4 linked regions of the Drosophila melanogaster genome follow. The protein of the gene in region 1 interacts with the protein of each later gene in a pairwise test. Each region holds a gene or a part of one and is shown on either strand. Other genes may lie near its edges. The genes, in order: CG3062, CG13321, CG15337 and Noa36.

Region 1 (9,268 bases):
ACCACCATGATTGAGTCTCATGTTATCGATCATTTCATTCCGTTCCTGCCGATGGAGAAGGCGCATGTGATCAAGTGCCTGGAGGCGGAGCTTTTAAGGTGGCGGCGCGATCCTAAGCAAGCGAACAACCAAAAAATCATTGAGGACATAATAAACTCCTCCATTAGTTACGATCGCACGCACAGCTTGTTCGCCATTTCGGGCTGCAAGACGCTGGAGAAGAAGGTGGCCATGGCCATTTACTGAGAAAGGACCGACCGACTCCACATTTTAATGCTTAGTTTGGGTTTCGGTTTGTATTTAAAAAACTATTTTTTCGGAATAAAGAAAACAAATTTTAACTACCAGGGATTTAGCCACTTGAGGCGGGCATCTTTGCGCAGCAGATCGGTATCCAGTCGCTTGGGCTGCTCGTCGTAATCCTGGCGAGCCGCCAGGCGGGTATCGATGGGTCCCAGGTCCTTGGTTACCAGGCACTCGCCGTTCTCCTTGAGTATCGTATGCCGGACATCCTGGGCAGTGGGCTCTCCGTAGGGGAACGTGACCGGCGTAACCTTAATTAGATGCTTGATCTTCCACAGGCGGGCATTGTTCTCCGGTATGTTCTTGACGACAGTAAAATCGCTCTGCTTTCCGTCTAGTCCCAGATCTTTGAGGATTCGATTCTCCCAGTAGGGATTGCCCTTTAGCGGCTTGATGCGCTGCACCCGGAAAAGTTTCGCCGGCTCCACGGGTGGATCCTGGTGATCGGGAGTCCTGAGCGGGATAGATTTAGCATTAACAAATGCTGGATTTCGTGTGTTTTCCTTTTATACACTGCACACGTGAATACGAACCTGGGATAGTAGGTGATACCCTCAAATTTCTGGCCATTTTTGTAGAGGAACTTCTTGTTGTGCTTTCCGTAGCTGCGCACCGAACATGCGGTGCTCCTCAGTGGATTCAGCAGCCTTCCCAGGTTCATCTTAATTGTTTTCCCCCCTTTGTAATAAAATTAAATGCAAAACGCTTATGAAATAATTGATGTTTCCCCGACGATAACGATTACACAGACATCTGGTTAACTAGTTGCCTATCGATGGGCAGCATGGATACTGCCGTTATGTAAACCAATGTTAACCGCTTGCTGTTAAGCGATACAATTCAAATGCAAAGGCGGCAAAGTTAAAAGTGATAATTTATCATGTACAAACTGAAGATAATTTATCATTTACAAACTGAAGATAGCGAAAACATTATCAATAAGATGGTAATATATATTCGTTGTTTTTTTTTTTAATATTTCAAGAATTAGTTGAGAAAAGAAAGTTTTTAGGTCATCGGATTACACAGCCTCCAGGGGATGATGTCCATTTCTGGAAAGGGGCGGTCTCATATCAAAATCTCCGCCATTTTGTCAGCTACAATTGGCGCTAATCGACGAGGGTGGATAACTTGGCATTGGCTGGCTTTCAACGCAATGGGGTTGTTTCCGATTTTGGTTATAAAGGAGGCTGCAGCTTCCCGACCGGAAGTCAGTTCCACGTGAGCATCCATCCGGCGAGCAACCGACTCTAGTGGCAAGCAAGGATATCTGCCAGACAACTCAAGGATCTAGAATAACTCTGCACCTGTGATAACTGCTGTAAGTTCAGGCAACAAAGCCCAAAAATTGTGAGCAATGCAAATGAAGTGAATGTACTAGCGAGTAGAATAATCAAATTAAAGATACAAATAGCTGAATGAAGTCTCTAGTTCGTTTAAAATTATATCTAGAAATTTGTTAATTAGCTAACTTGACCATGTGCACGCACTCGACATGTGTAAGTGTACTGGAGTTTCATAGTCTTGAGGGGACTTGAGTTACACGACAAGTTCTTAAAACTAGATCGGATTTCCATCATCCCATGGGATCAATAGACACGTCTTCGACTTGATGCAATTCCAGTGACACTTTTTGGACCCAAAACCCATTAAATCAATAGATATAAAATCATACGTTAACCGCAACAATACAAAAAAGGGTGGCCAAGCCTAAGGGGTTGGCATCGCTGAGGTTTGCCAACTCCCGCGGGCAAATAAACGTGCCGATTGTTCAGCTATTTGTGTAGGTGTGAAAATATGCTGCGAATAAACAATACACGCACAATGCCGACAATAAGCACAATAAGTACAATAAAAATAAATGAAAATAATAGCAAACGCAAACAGAATGCAGCGAAAAAGGGGTGTGTCCTTCATCGGCAAGGACGACACACACACACACGGACACCCTTCATCACAAATGTCCACAAATGAAGCATAAATAATTCGAGTGCAAGGATTATGATTTCTTCAACGCCTATTGTAACCTTTTTTTTTTCAATAGCATGAGCGCTCCACCGCAAAGGTAGCCACACTTTTCGTCTTCCTTGAGTTTGAAATGCAGATCTGTGAAGCAATCAAGTACACATTTCGTTGTATTCATAGTCTAAGCTGTGCATCCTCTTGCTTCCATTTCCATTTCCAGCATTCAGCAGCAGGCTGGGCAGCGCAAGAAAGTCCAGTGTCCAGCACCGAAATCAGTGGTGCAAATAGCCAGAGAATGGTCTACGATATGAGCCATATGGCGGCGGGTCCGCCGCAAAGCATTTCGCTTAGTCGCTACTATCTGGTCGACGATGATGAGATGATTGGGCCAAATAATCCGCATCTGGTCAACGAGGACTATGCGGCCAGTACGACGCTGGATATCGATAAGCGTTTTCAGGCGCGAATGGCGTGCGAAACGGCCGCACAACCGGCACCGCCACCGCCGCCCACGCCGGCGCCACGTCGCCGGACCACGCCCATTGCCCATTTGGATCCATCGGAATTGGTGGGTCTATCGCGGGAGGAGCGGCGTCGTCGCAGGCGAGCGACACTCAAATACCGAACGGCACATGCGACGCGGGAGCGTATACGGGTGGAGGCATTCAATGTTTCCTTTGCCGAGCTGCGCAAGCTGTTGCCCACATTGCCGCCGGACAAGAAGCTTTCCAAGATCGAGATCCTCAAGCTGGCCATCTGCTACATTGCCTATTTGAATCATGTGCTGGAGACGCCCTGAGATAGCGCCGGCGCCTCCAGTTTCGCCACCAGCTGCCTCTTTAACGAGGCCAATTTTTTCGCCCCCCCGTAGGAGGTGGGGGGGCGTGGCGGGCGGATTTAGGGGGAAAACATTGCGAATATTCCACATCCGATAAACGCATTTCACCATGCTCTGTAATCCGCACATCGCTCCATTGGATACTTTGCCGGTGGCGGCTATGGATAATGCGATTATCGAATTAGCCATCTCACCAACTTAACCGAAGTGTTCGATGGATTTTGCCGATTTGCTAACCTATTTAACCTATGGTTAAATACATACATTTTTTTGTTTTTTGTTTTTTTTTTTCCTTGCCACTGTTGAAAGACAAATGCCCGTCGTTTCGTTTCGATTCGTTTTTTTTTTTAGGCTTAGGTTTGTTTTCGTAGAAACAATTGTAAAGCCACGATTTAACCTAAGGTTAAAATATGCCCGTACTAAATGTAGAAGATATAAGCTATTAGTTTGTGTAATTTAATTGAAAAGTAGAAATATCGAAGGAAATAACAAAACTAAATATGCCAGTAGTACATACAATTAAATTTATGGGAAAGCAGTGCTTAATCCTCGGAGTAAACCTTGATCATGGTTTATATAATATAAATAACCAAGAAAAAAAAAACAGAACCTTAAACTAAGATCCATTTTTTGTCTAGCCTTTAAGTCGTGATATTTGTTTATACTCAAACGATTAATATATACAGCATTGTAATCGCAATAAAAAATTGTCTACTTTATGTATTTTGGCGCGCCTTTGCACGACACTCCCCTCGACTTTTGGACACCAGCTGCTCTGACTGAGTTTTCCATTTGTCTGAACGCTTTGCTCGGAAAAGCCAGATGCTAACAGTTCCCCCTTTTTCACCAACCTTCAAGAACCACGTATCCACGTATCAAAAGCGGGCGTGTCCTTTGCGCCAAGCCCCGCCCATTTGTGTAAAAGCGAAGTAGAGCAGCCTCTGTCATAATTTTCAAAAATTGAGGATACATTTTTATTTTTTTGTTTTAGAAACTGTGAAAGCGTCACGGAAATTTCGACTTTTGTGCAAAATTTCGAAATGGCCCTTCATTTTAGTGCACAGCAGGTAAGACAAATTTATTCTAGTCGATTGGGAGGCTGTTTTCAATATCCATAAATAGTGGCCTAATTTGGTTGGTACGGGTAACGGGTATATATATATATACATATATATATATTTGTGTGGATCCATGGATGTAAACATTTTCGCAATAATAATAACAACAAACGTGGCAATGGCAACCAACTCGATTCGGCGCCATCCTTTTCTATCCAGTGAAAAACGACTCCTGCATTCCGACAATCGGCTGTTTGTCCCTGTATGGGTGCTATTTTCATGGGTGTGGGTGTACTGGCGTTCATAAACAAAAACAAAGGCCAGGCGACAAGGAAGTTTTGTTGTGTGCATATTTTAGTTTTTACCAGTTATATATTTTATTCTTTATTTATATTTTTATATATTTTAAATTAACTCATTTTGAATGGCATGTGTTTCCTTTGCTCGAATTTTAAACTTTTGTTTATTTATTTTTGAAAATATATGTCGGGTGTTTTCTTGTTTTTGAGTGTCGTACGCATAACGTTACCGCTACCGCTCCGTTACCGTTTCCGCTCCCATAACCGTTTGAGCTCGCTTTTTCATTTCCTCCCCGCCCACCGCCCACCGCCCACCGCCCACCGCCGCCTTTGCACATTTGCAAATAGCGACAGTTAAAGTTTATTTACTTGGTAACGGTTACTTTGGACCAGAACCTTTGCCACGCAACTCGTTTTTGGGAGTCCACAGCTATTCGCCATATACACACACAATCGCAACGGAATCGGTTAACTGCGGTGGTGACGGAATTTCGAAAAGAATCTATTCGAATCGCACTCGAGAATCAATCGAAACGCCTGGCGTTAATGGTTTACCAATTGGCCAGGGCGACAGCTGTTCGGCCAGCGGAAATTGAAATTGGAAAAATTGAATGGAGCATTGAAAGAAGCAGAAGCAGGAGGCGGAGCACAATCCACAGGATACAGGAGCTTTGGACCAAAGGATAGTCGGCGGCAGAGCGTGAAATTAGCTTAAGTGCTTGTCGCCTCGACCAGGACACACCAGTGGATACAAGTGCGACATTAGATACGATACAAGAGTACCCGAAAGTAGAGAAGTACCTTCATTCTGGCGAACTTCTAGCCCAACCCCAGTGCCTCGGCCTAAACCAGCGATTCAACCGTGCACGTGTTTGCCAACTAGCTTTTTGACTGTCTAATCCTGCGGATGCGAGAATGCAAGGACACCATGTGATAAATTGCACCCCAGAGGGTTGCCATAAAAATCATCGCTTCACCCAGCTGGGGTGACCACCTCACCCATCTCAACCATCTCATCCAAGGGGTGCAAACTATTCTACCCATATATGCTACCAATCTATCTATCTATCCCATCACTGTATCTATCTGTCTATTGTGTAGCGTTAGCATAGATACCACACCATCGAGCCAAGTGCTGTTAGCTCCTTTGTTGCTAATTGAGTTTAAAATCAATTTGTATTTTTTCACGCCGCAATTTGTTCGAGCGCACAGCTACATTGCGTAATTGCCGTGCAAATTTAATTACAGCGCCGATGCGGTAATGCTGGTTGACCAACAAAACAGCCACGCGCTGCGAACGTGCGCCCTTGTCACACCCACTCACAATACGGAATCAGCACCCAGTGGAACACCCACTGCAGCACCCATCGATCAAGGCCTCAATCAAGTGGTGACACTCGGAGCGCTCCGAGTATCGAGTTACCAGCGAAGGTCCATTTGCATTCCTTAATTGAAATTCGTACGCGTGGGAAGACCACGCAGCCTGAAAGCTTTGAATCTCCCAAAGTTGGATGTTGCTCCATGTTTTTTTTTTTTTTTGGAAGAGATGATCTTCCATTTAACAGATTTCACTTCTCATATTCATATTCAATTATGCCACATAGTAGTTCAATCCAATTCAATTGCAGGCATATTGCCGGGCTCACTTGCTCCTGTGCCCGCTTAGGGCTGGCTAATCCTTCTGATAAATGGTCCGGGCTTTGGATGAGATGCAGTGGCTCGTTTTTTAGCGCGCGCAGAGATGTTGGAAATTTTTAGAAAGGCAAACACAAACAAGGCATTAAGTGGCATTAGACAAATGCCTTTCTACACATGTTCCAGCGTAGAGATTACGCCGTGTAATTGGCCCCACCTCCATTCGCCCGGGGTGGGTTCCGGTTTTCGATTGACATTTGGCCACGGCTGCGGGGTGGGCTACTGCTCTGCTCTGCTCTGCTCCTTCTACAATTTTTTTTTTTTTTTTTGTTCTTTCTTTTTATCAATTGCCTTGTTTGCGCTGGGACCATAAATAAGGGCATTACTCGCAGGGGGCGTGCGCGTTTTCCTAACAGGTGTCTATCGACTCCTGGCTAATCCCATGCCCATGCCCATGCCCAGCTCCCTGACATCGAGTTCCTTACTTACTCGTTCGTTGCAGTTCGAAGGCCGATTCCAGTCGAAGCGTCTCAACAACTGGGAATATCCGCGATTCTCACCACCCCGCCCACGTGGTCTGCAGAAGAACGCCAAGGTTGTGGCGGCCAATAACGGTCACCTGCTGCCCGAAGTGATAAAGTAAGCAATTGCCAATGCCCCACAATTATACAGTTTAATTTTAATCCACAGGGAGGGCAACTCATTTGGCCAATATCGTGGAACCTACGAGCTACCGCGTCGAATAACCCGTGCCTTTTGCGCCCACTACGATGCCTGTCTGAGTGGGCGGTACAAGTTTGTTGACTTTCCGCGTGACCTGTGCAATTGTCAGCGAGAGAACCGCAGGGCACTGGCCTGCGATCAGCGGTTGACCTTGGGCCACAAGGACGATCCCTACTGGATGCGCGAACGGTGCCAGACGAAGTGCGAGGGACTACAGAAGCTGAGGGCGTTGAGCGAGCGGAGTGCGCGCTGCAATCGGGCCAAGTGCGACGTGGTGGTGAGTGGGAATCGGGGTCACCATCGGGGTCACCATCGGTGTCACCTCTTACCAATTATGTGCACCCAGATTATTGAGTTATCTGCAACCAAGCTATACATATTTTCATTTCTGGTTGCACTTTTTGCACTTTCATCCTGCACCCTGCACACTCACATTCACATTCACCTGCAACCGTAGAGCGAGAAAACCGTGAAGATGACGCCGAAGGCAATCAAGACGACGGGTGTGGCCACCGAAAAGCGGCGTCGAAAGCGCACCATAACCGCCTTTTCCAAAGGACGAACGGCATTGCATCCCAATGAGCTGACCAAGCCGATTCCATCGTCGGAGAAACCGGCGGCGACTGTCGCCACTCCCAAGGACAAGCCGAAGGACAAGCCAAAGGACAAGGAGGCGGGCAAGAAGGATAAGACGAAGGATAAGGGCAAGGAGAAAGAGCGCAAGGCGGCGAAGGGCCATTAGTAAAACTTCATTATTTTGTTCAACCGAAATTCAAATCAAATTCATTGTAACCGCAGGTTTAAAATACATTTTAAAGGGCAGCACGATTGCACTCAACACAAATCATATAGCATATATATTTTATAACTAAACCCAGGTTAAACCATCTGTTACATATGTACATAAATCATACATCATTATCATCTCCATCTCCATCTCCATCTTATCTCATCCCATTCCATTCTGCACCACCAACGCATTGCAACAAGTGAACGAACCTGAAAGCCACCTACTCCATTACTCCATCCAATCATGTCGCAAACAGCTCTCCCGGAACTGAGCTACACGCCGGGCGACCTAACAGAGCCGCAGTTCCGGCTGCCCTCGCACCAGGAGCTCCTCGACCAGAAACGCAACAGCACGGACAGCGTGCCACTTGGTCGTCTCACCTTGGACACGCGCGACACGCAGCCCATCAAGTACAGGGAGCAGCTGGGCTCGGCGGCCGGTCGTCAATTTCCGGCATTGGCAGCGGCCCAAAATCGCTATACGGATCACTTGGAGCGCAGCAGCGAGTTGAGCTTTGCGTGCCTGGAGCCGGGCAAGGATCTAATCTCATTGCCGACGGTGGGTATACGAAGCTTTGATCTCGATCCCGTATCCGTATCCGAACCCGATTTGATCAAGAAGATGCCGCTGCACTCGATCACGGAGAAGCCCAACGAGCGGTGTCCATCGCCAGTGGTGCCGGCATATGCCAATTTCGAGCTGGCCAAACGGATGCACCAGGACAATTTGGACCACCAGCCGCTGCCCGATTGCGTCGCCGATTTGGCATTCCGGCGAGCGCAAATATCCGGCGGACATGCTGGCCTGGCCCTGGAAATCGATCCCATTGCCACGGGCGTGGGTGTGAAAACGCACAATGCTGGTCCGACGCACTGCACCAAGATGAAGGTCTTTCGTCCGAAGACCGGCGGTGGCATCGTGCCACGTGCCCTCGGCAATGGCGATGCCTTTCGAGGTGTTGGCTCCGCTCCGGCCAAAAAGATGGGACCCATGGATTTGGCCATTTGTTGGGACTTCAAGCCGGCGAATCCATCGGATGAGCCGCGCCTGGCCAGGCACATAGATGGCTCCAATGACTCCGCTGGACCGGCTGTCTTCACCTGCGTGAAAACGCCTCGCGAGGAACAGTCCTCGGACTTGGGCCGATCGGCTGGCGTCTTCACCAGCACGCTTGGTGAGGCCGATTTCTTCGACAAGGACATCCTGAGGAAGCGAACGGATTTTGGCGGTGCCCGTGTGGATCGCGAGGATCCGTGCGCCTGCGACTACTCGCCACCGGCCAGACAAAGAGCACGCAGTGTCTCCCGCGATTCCAGTGCATCGCATTGCAGGCGAGGATCGGGCATCGGCGGTCCAACTGGCGGTGTGAGTTTCGGCAATTTGGCGGAGCTACCCGGTCGCGGGATGCCCGATCGTCTAGCCAAGCAGTATCAATCGTCACCCCTGCTGGGCGACAAAGCCTACCAGGCTTTGAGGGAGAAATATTTGGGTCCGGACTCTGGACAGGATTGCAGGGCCATGGATTGCCGGCCAACGGGTGGTCCACCATGCAAGCGAGACGTTCTCCTCCGGCGTCCAGCTCGACGTCTCTGCCACAAGGTGGCTCCAGCTCCCAGATGCTGTCCCCCATCGTTCGGCGGACATGGTCATCACCATG
Region 2 (8,235 bases), on another chromosome or scaffold:
AAAACCTGTCTAATCCGACAGTCCATTTTGGCCATATCAGTATAATACATTTGCAGGGATAAGTATTTTAAAAATAGAAGGAACACAAAATGCCCACAGATTTCTTCCGGTATTAACAATCAGTTTATTTGGCTGCGATAACAGTTTGATCTAGACTAAATGCATATGGTATCTGTAGTGTTCCGTTCCTTTAGCTTATTGTCTGCAGAGAATCTCGTACGAGTTGATGCGAATCTCCCGACCTCCGTACGGAATATAGAGGCAACGCTGGCTGGCCGAGATCAGACCCGGTGTCAAACTGCCCTGGTAGTGTCCTCGCCCATAGTACAGCAGCTCTCCATTGCGAGCACGACCCGTGGTTACGGCGTTTGGTGGAATGCTGTGGCCGCAATTCATCCATACATATCCGTAGCCAGTGAGCACCTCGTAGCTGGGCTTCTGGAATTCGTATCCGCCGAAGCAAACGTAGGCGGTTCCCTTGCTCGGCACCACCTTGGCAGGCAGCATTTCACCCTCGTGCATTGCCCTTCCGGCGTAAATGGGAGTACGGTCGGAGTCGTGTCCGGCGATCACTGCGCCCGGAGGAGTGTAACTGGGCGAGGCCGGTACCCAGACGTCGTGCTGCTGCTTGATGAGCACCTCGTAGGTGTTGATGCGCACCTCCTGGCCGCCAAATGGAATGTATAGGCAGCCGTGCGATGGATGAACTTTGCCCACAGTCAAGCTTCCGGCATGATGTCCGCGTCCCACATAGAGCGGCTCGCCCGTTCGCGTCGTTCCGCTCCTCACCGCATTCGGTGGCACTCCACCGCTGGAACTGGGCACCCAGGCAAATCCCTGACCCACCAGCACCTCGTAGTGCGTCTTCGTGTGCTCCGCACCACCGTAGGCCACATAGGCGCATCCCTTGCTCGGTACGACCTTGGCGGGAAGATTCTCGCCTTCGTGAAAGGATCGACCCACATAGATGGGCGTGCGGTCCGAGTCATGGCCACCGATAACCGCGTATGGGGGCAGGGGGCTGTATGGAGACGAGTGCACCCAGGTGTTGTCTGCAAGGAGAAAGGCAGTAGGGCGATAAGTTTGATACCACGCGATAAGATAACCTATCTGTACACAGAGCGAAAACCGGAGAGTAAGTTTCGTGTCCTTTCCATTGGAAATATCTTAAAACTCTACTTGATTGATTTAAATCACTGTTATATTAATATTGTCTTGATAGATATTATATATTGTTATTAAAAAAAAAAAGATTAAGATTTACTAACTTCGTACTTTTTCAAAAGGTAAACATTTATCATCCCGAAGCTGCATTATTAAATGGATACGGTTTTGATTAAAAATTAAGTACAATGTACAATATAATGATTCACTCTATACTCATACTCTCATAGCTTTTTCTCCGTGTACATATTTGGCTTGCTGTACGGTTTTGCGGGTTTGGGTGGTTTTGGGTGGCCTAGGTGGTCTGGGGGCGGGGATCAAATGGGATTTGGGGTTTCACAGAGGCGTAGGGGTTTCACCCTGGGCTCACTGCACTCGTCCTACCAACGGTCACAACTCCTCCTGGCTGCACGGCGCCTGGAAAGAGCAAAGAAAGGCGGAGAACTGTAGAAGTCACTCAATGCTCTTTGCTTTTCTTCCGGCTAATGTGCACAGAGAAAAAAATCGCAATACCAACAGAATTGGTCAGCACTTGCGGATTTCTTCGCCCGTAATTGGGAAATTGAATTTAATTAAGCTAATATGCAACAATATATTTTTTGATTTTGATGATCTTGAAGGTAAATTACACTTATTTCATTAGACTTTGGCATTGCAAAATCATTTTTTTTTTTTTGGTTGCACTTATCAGAGGTTACTCATTCTACTTACCCATTGTGCGTTAATTGTTGATAAGTTATTCCTATGAAAAATAGTTTCTTTTATTCACTTGCGTTCTTCTGACTCCAAAATGCGTCTGAACTGACCAAAGTTTGTCTTTTCACTAAACTATTGGTTTGCAAAAGCCTGACGTTTAAAAACCGAACCAGAGCGATTCGTCACTGCTTCTTATCGGCGAGCTTTTATCTTTCAATTCGCATTTGTACATATATAAAAAAAGAAGTGCAGTTGATATTGGGACCTTTGCTATCACTAATTTTAACTTCCAGTCTCGAAAGCTCCATTTCCAGAAAAGCATTCCATTTATCGATCGAAAATGAATCATTGGCCCAAACAGGCGGTACTTTTGGGAGTAAAAGAAAAAAACAAGTAAATCGAAGCATGTGGACATTGTTTTAAATGTTATTGTTGTGCCCTCTCAACAGGTGGAACCCCAATTAAATAGACCCATAAACAATATGACGCCTGCCAGAAGCGCCCATGCTCAAAAAATCCCCCCCGTTGAAGGGGCGATAAGCATGTCGAAAATTTGTACTTTTAATAGAAAAAGGATCATTCATTTTGAATTATTTTTTACCTACTGAAATATTAAAAATAATCTTTAAACCTTTAGTGTAATGTATGTGCTTATTTTATCTCTTTTAATTAATAATTTCTTTGTAATAACAAACAAACTGATTTCAAAGGACATATGTATGTATGCATTTATGTAAGGCATAAAAGGCATTAAAAAGTATAAATATACATATGTGACTCAGCGGTAACGATATCAATAACTTTATATCGCAATTGACTCATCTTTAGACCAAACAAGTGTCTGTAACTTTACAACAGTTACAGTTAGTTTTCCAAAGGTTTCTCAATTATTAGGTTTATGATTTGAATAATCCACAAGAAGGTTAGGTAACTGTTTACATGTTGGTTCTTATTTTTGTTCTAGAAAAGCATTCCTGAACTTATAGTTGATCCATGGACAGCCACCCTCATACATATAATCTTTTACGAACTTATTGATGAAGTTTATTTTTGACTACCGGCGATAAGATTCGTAGCCAACTGCTTATAGATAAAACCCGCAAAAACAAAAACAAATATTCATGCACAAGATCGATTGAGTAATTTTGGTTGCGCTTCCTGTTTAACCCAGAATTTAAATTGTTTTTACCAAACAAAATCATCCAATATACATTCTGACACACCTGTCAGTTGGTCGCAATGACGAACACCCTCTACGACATGAGGATACCTTTGTGGAACACACACAATCGAACGGTTCAGAGCAGTGTGACTAAGATATCTTATCACTGCCGGCTAACTTGCCGAACTGATAAGCGGAAACAACAGCTTTTAAGGCGCAACCGATGTGCGGGTAGCGACCAGTCGTTGAAGTCAGCCCAAACATAGCGGAGCCAGCGAGTATATAACATCACGTTCCAGACCTAAATCAACATACAAAAAAAGCACACAAATACAACATGGGAGGTGAGAACTGAAGTGCAAAGTTAGTGACTAAGATAATTCTGGCGAAAACGAAAGCATAGTGCCGCAATTAGTCGTGACAAGTGGGCAAGTGTCATCGATACTCCGCGCACCTGACAGCCGAAATCCCTTGGAGCTTTGGTAGCTTTCCATAGATCCAGCGATTCTACACCCTGACAAATAAAAGACAAAAAACCTCTACTGTGGCTGATTAATGGTGTACAGTTGGCCCTCGTTGGCCCAAGTTAACTTATCGCCTCTGACCTTGCTCTATATATATATTTTATTCGCCCTCAGACTACACCTGGATTAGCACCAACGTTTACGGATCCCTGCCCCCAGGAGCCATCCTAGCTGGCCACGACTCCGACCAGGATCCCATCTTTGTGGGCCGTGCCTACCACAATGGAGAGATGCTGCCAGCGAAGGTGGTGCCCGGCAAGCAGCAGGCCTATGTGCCATGGGGCGGTCAGGAGATCAGCAAGCATGACTTCGAGGTCCTTGTCGGTGATCACTTCTCCTGGATCCCGTCCAGTGGTGGATCTGTCCCGCCCCATGCCATCCAAGTGGGCCAGACTGGCGAGGGTGAGCCCCTGTACGTGGGCCGTGGTTACTTCCAGGGCAGCCTCACCCCCGGCAAGGTCCATCCCTCGCACCAGTGTTTGTACATCCCCTACGGCGGACAGGAGGTAGGTCTAACCCTCACTTTGATGTTATGTTGATGGATTCCCTTCATCCCCTCAACAATAACGTTCGAAGACCACGTAGTGACGAATCGCACAAGCAGTGTTTGCAATGTGATAAATCTTAGTAAATCACTTTTATCTTATATCATTTCAGCACCGTCTGGAAGCCTATGAAGTGCTGGTCCAGCCCGAGACGTGGATAGCCTCTAGCGGACGCGGCATTGTTCCCGGAACAGTGGTTGGCGGACACGACGCCGATGGCGATCAGATCTATGTGGGTCGCGCCTACCACGAGGGCGATTTGCTGCCAGCCAAGGTGAGAACCTTAAACTATATACAGCTCGTGTTCCGAAAATGTACACTTGGAGCATTCCATCTTTAAATCTGTTCTGTTGCATCCCACTTTATCTATCCACTTATCCACCACAGGTGATCCCCAACAAGGGCTGTGCCTATGTGCCCTACGGAGGCGGTGAGGTTGTGAAGCACGACTACGAGCTGCTGGCCGGATACGGGTACGGATGGGTGCACGACAGCCATGGCAATGTGCCCGGCAATGCCGTTCTCTGCGGCCGCACTTCCGACGGAGAGCCCCTGTTCATCGGCCGTGCCCACCACCACGGCAGCCTCACTCCCGGCAAGATCCACCAGTCACACCATTGCCTCTACATCCCATTCGACGGCGAGGAGGTCCGCATCGACCACTACGAGGTCCTGGTCAAGGGCTGAGCTGCTACAGCGACTAGACTTTTGTGTTGTCCCCCCGTCGTCTGCCTACTAATTTATAAATCATTTTGTTTCATTAAAAACGTCCTCTGATAAACCAAATGTCCGAAATTTTAATGAAAAATGACAAGACAGCTCATTGTTGTTGCTTGGTAAACACAAGTAATTTGTTTTAACATATTTGATATATTCTATATATTTAATAATCGCCTGCTATGAACGCTACTCTATAGCGAATTAAGTTATGCTCAAGTTTATTGGCATCGCAGCAAAAACAAGGACAGCTTGTCCAGTCATCCCTGGTTTCCATAGCTGTCAAATTCGGACAATGACTCTCCAGGCACGAAAATCCAGCAGCTGCCACAAGTGAGTTGATGATAGACCGGGGTCACTACGCCTTTTGACTTCTAGTCGACCGATTTCGGCGAACTCCAGTAATCAAGAGAGAACTATTACTAAAAGTCAGTGTGGTGGTTCACCGCCAGTTTAATGGTTTCTAGACTTTTGGAGAATCCCTGGTCTTGGTTATTAATATGGATTGAATTTTGCTGGAATATGTATATTTCCTCGCAAAAGCTTCTCGTAGGGAAATGAGAAATTGGGTAAAACGGAATAAAGAAAAGAAATAAAATATGATTCTAATCAATTTTAGTATTGATGTTTTAACAACAACGGGAACCTTTTTTATAAGTTCTTCTTCTGTGGAAAGGCTATTTTGATTTCCGATATATACAACTCAAATGATCTCGTCAAGAAGGGCGATAATCTCATACAACCAAAAAATTCGTTACACCTGAAGTTATGCTTTGTTTTGCAAGCTTTTCCAGAGCTTTCGATTGACTCTCTACATGGCGCGTAGACTTTATGTAAAGATACACCCCCAGGGTCGAATATCTTATTTTTTTTCCCCTCAGCCGCACTCGCTTGCTCTCACTCGCGCTCGCCCTTACTGCTTGCTTGTCATTGGTCGTTTGTTACCGTCGTCGGCAGCGCTATGTTTTCATTGGCTAACTGGAAATCCGGCCGCTCCCGACCTCGAACTTAATTGGTCTTCTGTAGCAAGTTTCTCAGTCTGTGGACGTGGCCAACTAAAAGTGGCAGGTGGCCAAGACAAGGCGTTTCCTATCACATTTCATTTACAAGTTAATTTTCCACCAGAGTCCTTAGCGACTTGATAATTTCGCTATTGTCCAAAGGGGTATATTAGATTTTAAAAATACGTTTTTACTGATACTCACGCAAAAGGTTCATGAAGAGAAATCTTTTCGCTCCAAACTGGTTTTGGTAGGCCGCCTCCCAGGTCTCAAAATGCCGTCGCTACTTCCACCTATACTGAATCCAACGAAAGACAAAACAGTAAAGGCAGATTATTTGTAAACATTTAGCTTTAACACCTGGAAGTCAGCTTTGTAGATCTTAATCGCTGCGGACGGCATCTCAGGTAGTGGTACTATACATACACGTAAAATTTATAAATAAAATATTATAAATTAAAAACAGATAGTTAAGTAGACATAGGTCAAAGTTAGAGAAATATTAACTAACTTATATTTTTTTGAACTTAACGTCTGTGACCTATAATTAAAGGGGAATTATTTTTAAGCTAAGAATTCCAAATTATATGTCACATTTAAACATATTTTTATGTTGCATATCGAAGGTTAATCAAATGTTTAGGGCACACAAAAGCCCTAAAATCCCATGTTTTTAGTTCAAAGACAAATCTGTTGTACACTGGATTGTACATTGTAACATATGTAGCTTAAAGTTCTAAATGTTTAATGGTTCGAATGCATTTCTGGTTTCAGTACTAAGCATTCCCCATTCTACAATACAAAAAAACATCTATCGCCAATATCCAAAATGCAATAACACTGAAGATAAAATCTTAAATAACTTTGCAGATTAAACAAAGCGATCCAATTTAATATTTCTACCTGACCATGTTACCCCTTTTTACTAAGCCCGTTTTTATTTGAATATCAGACACCCCAATGTGTAACCACCAGCTTTCCGAACGACTGTCAATTTCAGACTTTGCAGCGGCAGAGTCATAACTTTAAAGCCATACAAGGAGTACGGGTTGCGGGACATGGGAAGACCCACCCCCTGGCGAATAACCCTCGGCCAATATAAATTCTTGTAATTTAATTTCGCTATTGCAAAGCAAGCGCACTCACATACTCGTAATCCGTGCCATACAGCGTCAGCAGTGCCACGTAAAATCTCGCATTTATTTTCCCGGAGAAGAGATATTAAAAGGCAACTGTGATGCTATCGGAGACCACATCCCATTGAAGCCGAAGCCCAGCTTCCTTTGCTTTTTTACCGCCAACCCTCGGAATAACTGTGAAAATGCTCGACATTCCAGGGCCCAAGCAACAATAACAAACGGGGACGGGACGACTATCAGTTTCAGTTTCTACAGACGAGAGGAATGACAAAATTTCGCCTCTGGCCTGTCACTGTATCTGAACCTCGTCGTCTATGCATGTATCCGTATCCGTGTTCGTATATTTGTATCCGTATCTCAGTCTCTGTATCTTTTCGCAGGGCACATCATTTAGCTGGCAACGAATGAAGCCGTTTTGTAGAAGGGCTCTACCAGCATATGTACATAGGTTTTCATATGCCGCCGTGTGGTACATAGGGGAAAATTTCTATATACAACAAAGGCGATACAATTAGTTGAAAAAGCCCAAGTGCGATTCGATGTCGTTATATCTGTGTGTGGAGTATGGTGTGTGTTCTGTGCGAAAGGGAGGGTTGCTCTGCCGACGTCGCTGCTACGAAGGTATTACTTTTTTTTTAGACCAGCAGTACGGGTCTTCATCCTGTTTCGTTAGCGAACAACGGGGCAAAACGAAAAACTGAAAAATGTACATAAAATGGAAATGAGAGGCTTTTGTTGAACGCACGGCGATGGGCGTTTCGGTATATAAATCGACACCGAAACCGAAAACCTTTCTCGAATTTAAAACCCCGGCTCTCGACGCCTACGTCGATCCGGGCAGCGACGCCAGCGCAGGCAGCGCATGAAGCTGTACACTCAGACAAATAGCGCGACCCATTAAAGGCATATAATGCAAAAAATATGAATGCTCCCTAGTAATATTGTGTTTTATATTAATTTGCAATTATGTATCTTGTTATACAAATTATTGTGGATATAATTACATTTCTGAAGAAACTGTATGCAGATAGGAAATTTTTGGCAGTGCATCGCAGGCAATTTGGAAAATAATAATCTCGATCCTTTCTTTGTTATGTAATCTACTCAGATTCAAGTTCGAAATAATTATCTAATTCCTGCAAGTGTAGACGCCAAGCGAAGACTTCGACAGCGCTTCTTCTAATTAGTTTTCGGAGTCTAAAAATAAGTTTTAGTAGATCTGCGGGGCAGCGGGTGCGGTGCGTCTGAGGGTTAGAGTGATATGGTACATGTTTCTCATCTGCTGCG
Region 3 (7,049 bases), 3.5 Mb from region 1:
GTACGCCGTTATCTATCTGTATGTGGTCCGGATTCAAGTGCAATTGCTGGCCAGGCGGGTGGAGAAGCTGGGCACGGATGATAGTGGCCAGGTGGAGATCTATCCCGATGAGCGGCGGCAGGAGGAGCATTGCGCGGAACTGCAGCGCTGCATTGTAGATCACCAGACGATGCTGCAGCTGCTCGACTGCATTAGTCCCGTCATCTCGCGTACCATATTCGTTCAGTTCCTGATCACCGCCGCCATCATGGGCACCACCATGATCAACATTTTCATTTTCGCCAATACGAACACGAAGATCGCATCGATCATTTACCTGCTGGCGGTGACCCTGCAGACGGCTCCATGTTGCTATCAGGCCACCTCGCTGATGTTGGACAACGAGAGGCTGGCCCTGGCCATCTTCCAGTGCCAGTGGCTGGGCCAGAGTGCCCGGTTCCGTAAGATGCTGCTCTACTATCTTCATCGCGCCCAGCAGCCCATCACGCTGACCGCCATGAAGCTGTTTCCCATCAATCTGGCCACGTACTTCAGTGTAAGTCCGCTCTACTATTAGTTACCATAGTTAGAGATGATAGGTTATGAATAACAATCTTGGCTTAAGAGTTAGAGGATTACCAACTGAGGACATACTCTTTCTATTTTCCAAATACAAAGCACATACCAATTTTCTTATCCTTAGCATGATGTTTATAGATTTTCCTCTATATTAATAATATTTTCTCCATATCTTTAGATAGCCAAGTTCTCGTTTTCGCTCTACACGCTCATCAAGGGGATGAATCTCGGCGAGCGATTCAACAGGACAAATTGAAGACCATTTATCGTTGATGCACTGAGAAATACATATATATAATCTATCAAATTTCGCATAATATGCGTATCTATATATATATGTATCTATAGGATGCGCTAGTTTTAGGGATTTTAAATCCCAACTGTAGCTTGATTATCCATTCCAATATGATACACACTGTATTGTAAGCAAATAAATTAGAACACGATGTGCCAATTTGTTTTTTGTAGTGTATTCCCTGCTGTAGATATCAAGTAGATACCGAATTAAAAGCGAAATCAATAATGATCGCTAATCGGCCAGAACAGAAGCCTGCTAACCACCGAATCGCATTGGCGCACCTCTATTCCCGATCCCCAAACCCCGATCACCGCTATCGCAATACTCATCCACTTTTTTGCATCCCAAGGCGAAGCACCTGTCAGGAGCGGAGTGGCCACCTCTTCGTCGCCATCTCCATGCCAGATCCACTTGGCCACCGATTTCTGGCCCAATTCGTAGTGGTGACCACACTTTGTTGTGCTTTACCGTTGGCCCGTGCACTCAGCGAAAAATGTATATGTTATATATGTTTATATTATTGTATAGTATCAAGATCTCAAATCAGATATATAAACGTTGCTTGGAATATATGTATATAGTTATGTTATAAAATTAGTTATAAATACCTTTTTCTAGATTGAAATCAACTTTTTCTGCGTGTAGCTGTTGGCCAAAGTGGGGAAAAGTGGAATGGAAAGGCTGGCTTTCCCAGTCTGGTTCTCAAATTCTGGCCAAGCTGGAGATATTCGAGGCTGGCCAAATGTTCTTCTGCTCTCGAGCCGACAGGTTCTGCTTATTTTTCGGTCCGTCGCGAAGTTGCTTTCGTCGGAAATGTGTGTGAAAATTATGTTTTATGTTCAGTGGATTAGTGGCCAGTGCTGATCCTGCTCCTAAATTGCAGCCATAAGATACATTTCCATCTGAGGATCATCGGGATGGTAAGTTTGAACTTGCTTTACTTACGTTTCATATGTTTGGGAAAGAAAAAAAGGAGGCAAAGTCGCATTTGCATCCACATCCAGCAGATCCAGTTTGTGCTGGCTACTCTTGCACTTGGCCTTCGCCTATTTTCACTTTGTGGGCCAACAGGTTTTCCTTTTGGCATGTGCCACATTCGCCGAAAGTAAACCACCTACAAAAAAAAAAAAAACAAAGTAGACCGCAGGGAATGCACTCGAAAAATGCCTCAAAATCGAGTTCTTAGCATTGTAAATATATAAATATAATCGAAAATATTGGTATGATGTATCTGAAACTTATTGCTGTAGTTTTTATATTATATAATATAATTTAGAATTAAGCAATTGATCAGAATTTCCAAGTATTAGGGAATTAATCATATAGAATATTTGAAAAATTGTTAGGTTTAAGAAATCGGTGTGTTTCGAAAACGTAGTGTTGTAAAAGTGTATGTTATGTCGAAATGTCACAAAAATGATTCGAGAAGCAGGATAATCAGGAACCTTCGAGTTTAAAGTACATATAAGCGGGTTATTTGCAGCCGTTCAAAATTCAAGTTGCCACCTTTCCAAATTTCATTTGCTCCGCCTGGAGATTGGATCACTGGATCTTCGGTGGTCATCGTTGCCATCGCCCAAAACATCACCATCACTATGAGCCGACAATTTATGCATTTACCGCTTCACAGCCGGCTGCGCCGTTTGAGAAGCGGATTGGAACCGCCATCCGGCAATGTCGTGGATGACAGAATGTGCTGGATTTGCCTGAGGGGCGATGAGGATCACCGCCGAAGGGATTGGGTGCATCCGTGTCGCTGTCGCGGCACCAATAAATGGGTGCACGAGGCCTGTCTGAGTCGCTGGATCGATGAGAAGGAGATGCTATCGCCGGGTGCTCCCGTGACGTGCACCCAATGCCGCACGGAGTACATTATAGTGATGCCGCCACTATGCCGCTTCGATGCCATGCTGGAGCGACTGGACAAGGGCTGCGATCGTATGTGTCCCAGTGTTCTGATGGGCATCCTGGCGGCCACCGTTTACTTCTCCGCGGTGATCTACGGAGCACTCACCGTGCTCCAACTGGCCGGCTACAGCACGGGCATGAAGCTGCTCCAAGAGGATCCCTCGCTGCTGATGATTGTGCTGCCATCGGTGCCGACGCTCCTACTTCTCAGCAGGCTTGTGCGCTGGGAGGACTGCGTGATCCGTTGGCTGCGTCGGCGCAAACGTAGCGCCATTCCCGCCGAGCAACTGGATGCTGTGGGTCTACCCCTGCCCGGTGCTCCGCTGAGCGATGAGTACTTCGATGAGCTGGAGCGCGAGTATCCGGCCTCGGATGGCCTAATTGGCGGTAACTTGGCAACGGAGCAACTTGGTCGCGCCTCCACCAGCTTCTGCATTGCCCTAAGTCTGCCCACCATTTCCGTGGTGCTGGGACAGAAGCTCTTCGGCAGGATCTACGAGGAGAACAAGTTATTGAGCATCCTCCTGGGCGGACTGACCTTTGTGACCATCAAGGGATTGGCCAGTATCTTCCTTAGCCAGTCGCAGTATCAACAGAGGCGCCACAGATTCGTCATGGACTACACTCCTCGCAATCGTATCAACTATCAGTCCCGGTAGCGCTGAAGGCATCTAGAATCTGCAGGCATCCATCAGTTACAACAAAGATCCACTGATCCTTATTTAGTTTTTTCTTTTATAGAATGGCCAAAAATCAATAAATTAGTATAAGTTGCCAAATATTTATTAACAATTGTTTGAGAAATTCCAAAAAAATTAAGTAGCTCCAGTTCACCGGAGTTGGCATGTCCAGGACTTTGAACGACGGACGGCACCTGGCCGAGATCAGTGTCCTTGGCCATATATAAAATAAAAATCTAAATGGCGGCTAAAGCCCGCCTAACTGCTCCCAACCGGTTGCTCAGATTCCGGACGATATTCATGATCCTGATACGCGATCTCTGGACCATCGAAGGACCCGGATGCTCCAGCTCAATACATTTGCCCGGCCAGACGAACATTATGTTGGAGGCCACCGCCTCGTCGAAGAGGAGCAGATAGCAGGGTCGCAGTGACAGCGATTCCTGCACAAAGTACTCGAGAAAATGCTTCTCCGGCGAATGGGCAATGGATTCGTCCAACTCCGAGGGTAGTTCGCATATGACCAGTGCCCTTTGCGGTGCAGTGAGCGTGGAGTTCCGCCAGCACAGCGAGCTTGAATTTCCAGACTGCTCCCTCTCTGCAATGGATTGGCTGGACGATTGCTCCTCCGACTGGACATGCTGCTGCTGCGGCAGCGAGCTCAGCTCGTCGCAGTGAACCAAGGCTGTTTCCGGTTGGGCATACAAACGAATGGCAACACCTGGCGGTTGCTCCAGACGTCCAGTGGCCAGGAAACGATATAGGTACTGAAAGGGCAAGCCCAGATAGGCGTAACTGGATCTTGGCCTTGGACTCGAATCGCCCAGCCGCTGAACATTCCGCTCATAACTGATGCTCAGCAGATGGCCGGGCTCCAAGGTGGGTCGTGCCAGGCCCAGAAAGCGGCAAAGTCGCCGCAAATGCAATCCCGACATGCGGCGCAGAGTGGGCGACGAGGGCGTGGCCACCAGGATCCAGTGCAGCAAATGCAGGGCGTCCACATCGTCCGGCATCAAAGCGGCATACTGCTCGTCAGTACTGGGGCAGTCCAACATGATGCGACAGGAGGGCCAATTATCGGCGACGGCGTGACGCAATCGATCCACTTGGCAGCCGGAGCCTGGTGCCGCTTGAAATTGTGGCGGCACCGGAATGAGAGTTCTCTCGTGCTCCACACTGCTGGCCGCCGCCGTGAAGATCAACAGGCGAATGTCACTGGCCTGAGGCTGAGCTCGCAGCGCGTCCCGAACCTCAGACATTGCACGCTGGAGCGGAATAGGACGTGAGGATACCGGCGGAGGTACTTTTCCCTTGCTTTTGTGGTTAATAGGGTTGGAAGTCAGTGGGATAAGGACTTTGGACAGTGACGAAACCAATGCTTACTTAAACGCTAAAACGCCATCGTGTGGCTCATCCGGCTGGAGTTTGGTTCTGGGCTTGGTAACGGGTATCGGCAGGGGTCGAGGATTGAGGATCGGATTGAGACTGTTGGGCACCATGCCCATCGGCATTGTTGTGTCCATGTCCGGCAGCGATTTTTTTTCACGTGCAACACACAATGCCAAATAAATCTAAAATATCGCACTAACTCTTCTAAAATTTTGACAAAGCAAATATAGTTTCGAAAACTCTGAAAACTCAACGGCGAGCTACTTGGTGATTCAATGTTGATTGATTTTGAAACGGAAAAACACAACCATGATTAACAATTAATATTATTAATATTGTTTTTAATTTCCAAATTGCGTGAGAATATCACTTTCCATTTGCAAATCGACAAATAGTTTTCGTGACGTAACTATTTGCGAAAATCAGCAAATAAACTGCTTGCGCATAACAATTCGAATGCATTGAGTATACGCACTGTTGTACTACGAGTATACATACGTACCTCAAACCAAAGTCGAGTTTACGCGAAAAAAAAAACGAAAGCTACGATTACGATGGGATGCGATGACATTGAATCCAAATGGCAGGAAGTATTTACAAGCTCCAATACGGACGGGCCCCTCTGTTGTAAACGGCCAATCAATCAATAGTGAATAATAATAATACAAAATATTTATTTATATTTAATTGCGTCACGTTGCTGAATGCTGAATGCTGATTATAATGCTGGACTCTCTTGAACTAGACCTCACACTGTGCTATATTTTTGCCAGCTTAACTACACCAAACAAAAAGGCCTGGGAAAACTTCAGTGTGGCCTTTATATACAATATATATCATCATCATCATTAAATATTGGGAATTAAATCCCAATCATCACATAAACATGTACCTTGGACTTGAACTAATCCATGAATCCTTCTCGAGCTCGCAGAGGTCACCACCATGACGCATCTGACCTAGAAGTGGTAGCCAATTGAGAGGCGAGCTTACGATCCATGGGTCAACGGGTCATCTGGATGGGCAATAGCTACGTCAATGCGGCGATCACAGTCCAGACATACGCGTATACTATGGCTGGCTGGATGGGATGCTGATACCGAGTGCCCAGTGCAAAGTACGACATTCCACAGCGGATGGATGGATGGATTGCTGGATTGCCGGTTTACGGAGCTCGTATTTGCACAATACAATCACAATCATGTACATATGTCTTATGATATGCTTTTACTCTTTGGAAATTTCATTTATTAAGTTACTACGCCTACAACTAATTACGCACAGGTGGTTTATAGGGTATCTATGGGGTCTACAGCTAGTTTAAAAAAAACTTGGTTTTCTGGCAGCCTGTTATCGATTCGTTGGCCTAAACTAGATTGAGTGACTACAACTAGGTGTGTTAGTACATCGTATCGACTACTACGCATTATAATAGCACTTGACAGTCATATAAATATGTTGGTAATTTAGCCTAATACATAGACGTGGTGTCTCTGGCTGTCTCTCCTCCTCCTCCTCTCACAATCTGTTCATCTAAGTACGGATGATGATGGTGTTTTGCCATGCTCTCCCATTGAGTTTCAAACCCAATTGCAGCACTATGTGGCGGTATGTTTGGTTAGCTCCTTTTGCGGGCAGGCGACTTTGGGATACACAAATTCCTGCCGGTCGTCGTGGGCCAACTGGAAATATGGAAAGAAAAGCATATTGTTACTCAAACTCAAAGGATTCTAGAAATTACAGCTAAGCTGTATTCCAATTCAAATGCAAAGCATAACGATAGAAGCGATATGGAATTGAATGGAATAACCACATCATTCTTCCTTTGAAAGCATAAACATGAATGGTAGCTCTACCCACCTAGGTCTCTTAGAACCGCTTGTTGTCGCGCAGGAAGGCCTTGTGACGCACCTCCTCCTTGAGGCACGGATCGGTCTCCTTTCCGGAGCCGCCCCGCTGAACGCAAACGGTCTCGGCCTTCAGGCCGAAACACTGCGTCTGCACGACATTGAAGAAGAGCTTTCCGATGGCGTTCGCATCCTCGTCGCCGGCCATCTTCAGACACGTGCGGAACCGTAGATCACAGCTGCAGTGTGACAGCGTGTACGGTCGATAGTTGAAGAGATCATAGCGATTGGACATGCCATCGATCCACATTTTGCAGTGATCATGCTTCCGGCAGCATTTGTCCGCCTTGGAAGCGCCGCCCAGATCGT
Region 4 (6,699 bases), on another chromosome or scaffold:
CCAGTTGCCGCCACCATTCTGGTTGCCGTAGTTTCCACCGCCCATGTTTCCGCGGTTTCCACCGGCACGACCACCCGGACCACCGCGTCCTCCGCCACCTCCCTGTTGGTCATTCTGCTTGGGCAAGGCCTTCTTTACGTCCACCATTTTGCCATTCAGCTGATGCTGCTTTTGCACTGCAAAAATAAAGAGGGAAAGCATGCTATTAGTGGTATTCGAAAATGAACTTCCCTATGTGGTGCATCCGGAGGATAGTGTGCCATATACTCTTTCATCATTGGTGCACAAACACCACCAACAACAACAATATAATACTGGCTGGGATTTCATCTTACAGTCACAAACGCCGCACGAGCACATCGAACATTGCTATGCGGAGCTGGGACTGTGGAATTTTAGCTAAAATTAGGATCGATATCGGATAGTACACATTCACCATTTCGGTGCATTTGATTTGCAGTTGTAACGAGGCTGCGTGTTACACAGAATTGATTTATAATATACATTCGCATCACATAGCTTAGCCGACGCTTAAATTAATCTCACAGCGTTTAAATAAAAACCATACAGGCGACTTTTTCAAGCCCGTCAATTTGTCAGTACTGTGACGTCCACGAAGGGGCTGATCTAGAAACTTTCTGTTTAATCGGTTCGATAATCAAGGTGTGCCTTATACTCTTTCATCGTTGATGCACGAAGAGCACCAACAACAATGATATAATACTGGCTGGAATTTATTCTAACAGTCACAAACGCCGCACGAGCACATCGAACATTGCTGTGCGGAGCTGGGACTGTGGAATCGTAGCTAATTTTAGGAGATATATTCACGCTAAATAACATTCACCATTCTGTGGATTTGTCAGTATATTCAAGTAAGCGAAGGCATTTAGATACTCATTCTTTTCATATAGTTGGTAATTCAATGTGATATTGTGCCTTATACTCTTTCATCGTTGATGCACGAACAGCGCCAACAACACGATATAATATGGGCTGGGTCTTTTATCTTACAGTCACAAACGCCGCATGAGCACATCGAACATTGCTATGCGGAGCTGGGACTGTGTATCGATTTCCATAATAGCAATTAATTGAACTATTGTAACGAGGCTGCGTGTTACACTGAATAGGCGCAATGCTTACATTCGCATAACATAGCTTAGCCGACGCTTTAATTCATCTCACAGCGTTTAAAAAAAAACTACCCTGGTGATGGTTTCAAACCAGTTAATTTGTCAGTACTGTGATATTAGGAAACAGTTTTAGATTCAAGCTATAGTGTGCCATATACTCTTTCATCGTTGATGCACGAAGAGCACCAACAACAATGATATAATACTGGCTGGAATTTATTCTTACAGTCACAAACGCCGCACAAGCACATCGAACATTGCTATGCGGAGCTGGGACTGTGGATATATTGTAATAATTGCAATTTTATCGAAATTTCTTGCTTATAGTGCGCATTCGTTTATCCGACGCTGATGGACATTTACGAGAAGCCCTACAATGTGCCAGAGCTGATTGAGCATATAGATTAGGGGTGGTTGCATGTCATACTTTTTTTCTACACGAACGCCGCGTACACAAATGGGGTTAATATTCGTTTCCTGTGCAGATAATTCAATCTGTATTGTATAAATCTAAGAACATGGCAATGTGATTTTCCTAACAGTCTACTCTCGAAGAGATAAATCATTCTTAAAGGATATTTGATATTGTCTAGATTAGGAAAAGCGTTGTACTTACACACAACTTTGTCCACGGGATCGTAGTCGTCGAACTCGACGAAGGCGAATCCGCGTTTCTTGCCAGTCTCCTTGTCAATGACTATGTTGATGTCGACGATGTTGCCAAAGTGCTGGAAGTAGTCGCGGATGCTCTGCTCATCATGGTCGTCCTTGAGGGCGCCAACAAAGAGTTTCTTTACGGTGGCTCCGGCATTCGGGGAATCAATGTCCTGACGGGGAACGGCGCGCTTGGGCTCCACCACTCGACCGTCGATCTTGTGGGGACGCGACTTTTGGGCCTCATCAATCATGCTCGAGTGGGAATAGGTGATGAATCCGAATCCGCGGGAACGCTTTGTGCGCGGATCCTTCATGACCACCACGTCCACGATGTTGCCCCATTTCTCGAAGTGAGCCTTTAGGTTCTCGTCGGTGGTACGGTAGTCCAAGCCACCGATGAACAGCTTGCGCATATGCTCCGGCTCGGTGATGGAGTCCTGAGGAAAGTCCTAAATTATTGATTTTATCAATGGCCATAACCTCACTTTCCGCCCTTGAGACACATGCGTAATTTTCAAAATGGCGACCGGCAAGGCGAGACACCAGCTTACAGGAAATTTCTAGACCCTTAATATCCACTACTTACATCATCATGGCCATTGGAGTTGCCGTTCTGGTTCTGGTTCGAGTTCACCATTTTACTAATGCAAAAGTTGAACAACTTCTAATCTAACTATTTTTTTTGCTATTGCAAATGGAGAAAGTCCCCTGACACACGAGACGAATGAAAAAACTGAATACAGTGTGACCGTTTCTACAACCCGATTAAACCCAGCACCTATTCGATACTACCTAGAACGATAACGATAAGTTGACAGACACCCTTGTCAATACAATACTTTTACAATATCTGCCCTGTTTCTTTTCACCATGCCTTAAAAAATGTGTGTAACATGTGTATTCTTGATCACGCCTTTTGCACTAAAAAGCTAAAAGAGAAACCAATACCGACAGCATCGTACTCCCTAGCACTATTAAGATACAACTACTGTTAGTCTTAGTCTTAAGTAACAAAACCGCAACGAAATGCTTTAGCACATCAACTTTAGTTGCCGCATGGGTAAAAGCGCGTTGATCACCAAAATATATATATATTGGGATTATGGCCGAACTGAGTTTTTTCCCTGTGCAGTCGCGGTTTTGTGTGCTACTTACATCTTGCTCCTCATTTTGACCATTGTTCCAGTTGTCGTGACCACCCATTTCGAAGAACTTATATTTAAATATCTTTACTGCTCTGATATATATCTCAGCAATACTATAGAAATAACGACACTGGGAACGAAAGACGCTCACTGTAGCACCCCTTCCCTAAAACTGAAAATATATTTTCCTGTGGAAAGGAAAGCCGTAGACAGACCTTACAAAAATACTAGACCTAAATAAAAGCAAAGGTATTTGGTTACACTAATCGGTTGTTGCTTCCACTTGTTTCCACTGAAAATCTATGTGGGTCAAATTAGCGTCTATGGCAGAACGGTGAAATATGGAAAATGAGAATCTTATTTATTTATTTAATTTTTCGCTATTTATAGGTAAATTCCAAAAAAAATACAAATGCAAAAATCTTAATAAATCGAACTATTTAAGAGATCTAACTATCTATGTACGACTAAAGTTTATAGGACTCAGAAAGTATATAAAATATGCAATAAAAAAATCGGCTAGCTACTTTTCAAGGAATATCTCCACTCGCAGAGCATATTCCAAAATGCACGCTGGCCAGAAAAATGATGTGTTAAATTACTCGGCTCCGCCGTCGCCGCTAACTCCACGATGCTAATTTAACGCATTTTTTGTAGCTATTTTCAAGATGTAGCTACATATTTAGCGGAATATTCGAAAGCTTTTTGTGGTATTTTTCGGCGCACCCGCAGCAGCCACACTGCCGCACACGTAAGGAAATAAGTTTTCTAATTCCTTGATTTCAAAAATGCCGAAAAAGAAGACTGGGCAGCGTAAGAAGGCCGAGAAGCAGAAGCTTCGCCTCAAGGAGATCCGCAGCAGAGAGGTGCCTCTTGCGGATTTGCCCTGCAATGCACCAATGGAGTGCGACAAGTGCGAGAAGAAGCAGAAGTCGAGAGCCTTCTGCTATTTCTGCCAGAGCATTCAGAGATTACCCATTTGCGCCCAGTGCGGGAAAATCAAGTGCATGCTAAAGACCGGCGACTGCGTGGTCAAACATCCGGGCGTCTACACCACGGGCCTCGGAATGGTGGGCGCCATCTGCGACTTCTGCGAGGCTTGGGTTTGCCACGGACGCAAGTGTCTCCAAAACCACGCCTGCACGTGTCCGCTGCAGAATGCGACCTGCCTGGAGTGCGAACGCGGTGTCTGGGAGCACGGTGGGCGCATCTTCAAGTGCTCCTTCTGCAACGGATTCCTGTGCGAGGACGATCAGTTCGAGCACCAGGCCAGCTGTCAGGTGGGTAACCAAAAATACTCATTAAGCTTGTTCCGAACTTCATTTTGAGATTCATATGACGCCTTTTGGTAATGCAATCCATTCGGTTCCAGGTGCTGGAGTCGGAGAACTACAAGTGTCAATCGTGCAACAAGCTGGGTCAATACTCCTGCCTGCGCTGCAAGACCTGTTACTGCGAGGATCACGTGCGTCGCAAGGGCTTCAAGTACGACAAGAACAAGCCAATTCCATGCCCCAAGTGCAACTACGATACCTCGGTGACCAAGGACCTCAGCATGTCCACGCGGTCGCACAAATTCGGGCGACAGCAACAAGGAGGCAACAGCGACGACGAGGAGGGATACGGTGGATACTATGGAGCCGGTGGCAGTGGCTATTATGGTGGCGCCGCCAGTGGGGGCTACTCCTACGGGGGTGATGACGATGAAGATGAGTCCGATGGAGACTACGATGATGAAAGCGATGAAGACGATGATGATGATGAGGAAGAGGACGAGACCACAGAAAGTGAACCGGAGAAGGAAACCGACAAAAAGGCCACCAAATAAGGCTGAATTGTTTATATACTCGTAAATGGCCTTTTGTTAGTCCCTCTAAGTGTGCGAATGAATTCTCGGCTGTGCAGTCGTTTCTCTCGATGTAATAGGGAAATAAATTCTTTGTCAAATTGTAGAGTTTCCAAGTAGCCATTTTATAAAATGCAACAAGCTGCAAGTGGACTGTGGGCGAAAGTCGAAAGGTAAATGCGCAAGCGAATGCGAATCCAAATTCCACAAGGGAGGATAACTGGGGAACTGCGGGTGCGGATTGGAAATAATGGCCCTGGGCAGGGAGGAGCAGCAGGGCCAACCCGTACGCATATGATGATGGCGATGCCAACGGCTCTGCCAGCGCCAACTTCTCTGCTGATAGACTCATCCATCTCCAATCCACTTACGAGCGCAAATATTTACACAATTTACTCGAAAACGGAGGTATGAGCATATAATATTTCCAAAAACGATGGCAAACACACCACACACACCAAGCGAAAGACACGCACTTCGGCATTTGGGAATGTTTGTCAGTTAGGCAGAGCGGAACAGCAACAGCAATGGGTAGATGGGCGATGGTTGCTGGGCCATGTGGGGCACGGGATGTGGGCAGGGTTCGACCCATCATCAGTCTGAAACATTTTAGGCATTGCAAATCAATGAGCGGCCTGATATAAGGGAGGAGCATAGTTCTTCTGCATATGAATGAAATCATATGTGGCGTTACTTATGTAGGCGAGTCCTGGGCGAGGATGTGGACGCATGGGGTCGGGGACTGGGTGGCATGAGTGGCAGGCAAATCAACTGTGTACATAATACAGATTAGTGTGAGAGGATATGGGATGCACATACAGTCGCGGTGGGAACAATAGTCCTTTGATTTAAAACATAATCCGGTCTCTATAGTAGCTAATATTAAACATTTAAAGCAAGATTTCTCTTCACTTATATTTTTCCCTACGAACTTTAAAGATGGATTGATACCTACCATATCCTTGGTATAATGTGTAATTAGCCTTGCTAAGATACCCCCTGCTGTGGTTACTTACACGACCATACTTATGTATAGATCGGAGCAGCTTAATGGCCGCCTGCCAGCATTTGTGTCTGCATTTCAATCAAAATGGCCTGTCTATTCCGGCCGAGGCGATGTCCAAGCCATTGGAGTTAGGGCTACTCAACAAAATTAGAAACGGGGTGGCTTATGGGGGCTAGATGGAGGGGGTGTGCCATTTATGGACTGTGGGCTGTGGTGGTCAGTGCCAAACATCAATAATAATTTCATAAATGTAATCAGAGAGAGGCAAACAAGACCCGAGTCGAGTCACAGTGATTGAGTTCTTAATTGCACTGCGATATTAATCCTTGAGACCACTCTGTCCAGCCAATTTGGTCACTTCCCATCACGATGACCGCCTTCATTAGCCGGAGTGCATTCTCAATTACCAGATGGATGGGTCTCGGGTTTAAAATCTCGCTGGGATCAGGATTCCCAAGAAATGCCAAACGCAAACTGTAATCACTTCCGATCAGCATTATCTACTGCTTATTTATGCAATGCCAATATTTTTGTCGGCCAAAGTCAATCCATAACAAAAACACAGCCATGGCCAAGGATTAAGGTGGGAAAATCCTGTGGACAATCCGAGGAACACGTGGAGAAGTCAAAAAGTGCGGCTTATGGCCAAACGCAATTAGCGTTAATTACGATGGAAAACAGCCGGAGCGGCACAGCTTCCCATGGTTACGGGTTAAGGACTCTAGGATTTTAGGATTCAGCAGGTCCTTGCGGCCACTTGAAGTTTAATTTAATTTCATCTTGCGGCTGCCGCAGCGTTGCTCGCTTCAAGTGATTGCGCCATGGGATTGGATTGGTTGGGATGGTCTAGGTAGTTTGGATTCGGTGGGGGTGGTATCTAACGTCATCATCAACATCTACCATATCCAC

What was found.
Region 2: the proteins of CG3062 (region 1) and CG13321 interact in a two-hybrid assay, tested with the Drosophila melanogaster proteins (one large-scale study listed by BioGRID).
Region 3: the proteins of CG3062 (region 1) and CG15337 interact in a two-hybrid assay, tested with the Drosophila melanogaster proteins (one large-scale study listed by BioGRID).
Region 4: the proteins of CG3062 (region 1) and Noa36 interact in a two-hybrid assay, tested with the Drosophila melanogaster proteins (one large-scale study listed by BioGRID).

Annotation. Positions count from the first base shown.
Region 1 is NC_004354.4:4,639,663-4,648,930, reverse strand, and holds CG3062 (uncharacterized protein), read left to right. Parts: upstream 1-4,062; 5' UTR 4,063-4,146; coding exon 4,147-4,173; intron 4,174-4,943; exon of another isoform or gene 4,944-5,217; intron 5,218-6,600; coding exon 6,601-6,737; intron 6,738-6,788; coding exon 6,789-7,098; intron 7,099-7,278; coding exon 7,279-7,563; 3' UTR 7,564-7,662; downstream 7,663-9,268. Other genes in the region: torsin, read left to right, coding at 1-246; mRpL30 (mitochondrial ribosomal protein L30), read right to left, coding at 342-756, 837-964; HLH4C (helix loop helix protein 4C), read left to right, coding at 2,564-3,067; CG3081 (uncharacterized protein), read left to right, coding at 7,855-9,268.
Region 2 is NT_033778.4:12,950,298-12,958,532, forward strand, and holds CG13321 (uncharacterized protein), read left to right. Parts: upstream 1-2,814; 5' UTR 2,815-3,359; coding exon 3,360-3,366; intron 3,367-3,660; coding exon 3,661-4,052; intron 4,053-4,203; coding exon 4,204-4,365; intron 4,366-4,478; coding exon 4,479-4,778; 3' UTR 4,779-5,415; downstream 5,416-8,235. Other genes in the region: CG44251 (uncharacterized protein), read right to left, coding at 1,876-1,879; CG44250 (uncharacterized protein), read right to left, coding at 196-1,052, 1,549-1,581, 1,876-1,879.
Region 3 is NC_004354.4:8,158,031-8,165,079, reverse strand, and holds CG15337 (uncharacterized protein), read right to left. Parts: upstream 5,027-7,049; 5' UTR 4,968-5,026; coding exon 4,828-4,967; intron 4,759-4,827; coding exon 3,681-4,758; 3' UTR 3,528-3,680; downstream 1-3,527. Other genes in the region: Or7a (odorant receptor 7a), read left to right, coding at 1-535, 737-814; CG10761 (uncharacterized protein), read left to right, coding at 2,452-3,423; GIIIspla2 (phospholipase A2 group III), read right to left, coding at 6,703-7,049.
Region 4 is NT_033777.3:28,596,249-28,602,947, reverse strand, and holds Noa36 (Noa36), read left to right. Parts: upstream 1-3,659; 5' UTR 3,660-3,726; coding exon 3,727-4,218; intron 4,219-4,310; coding exon 4,311-4,766; 3' UTR 4,767-4,889; downstream 4,890-6,699. Other genes in the region: Hrb98DE (heterogeneous nuclear ribonucleoprotein at 98DE), read right to left, coding at 1-176, 1,753-2,242, 2,380-2,430.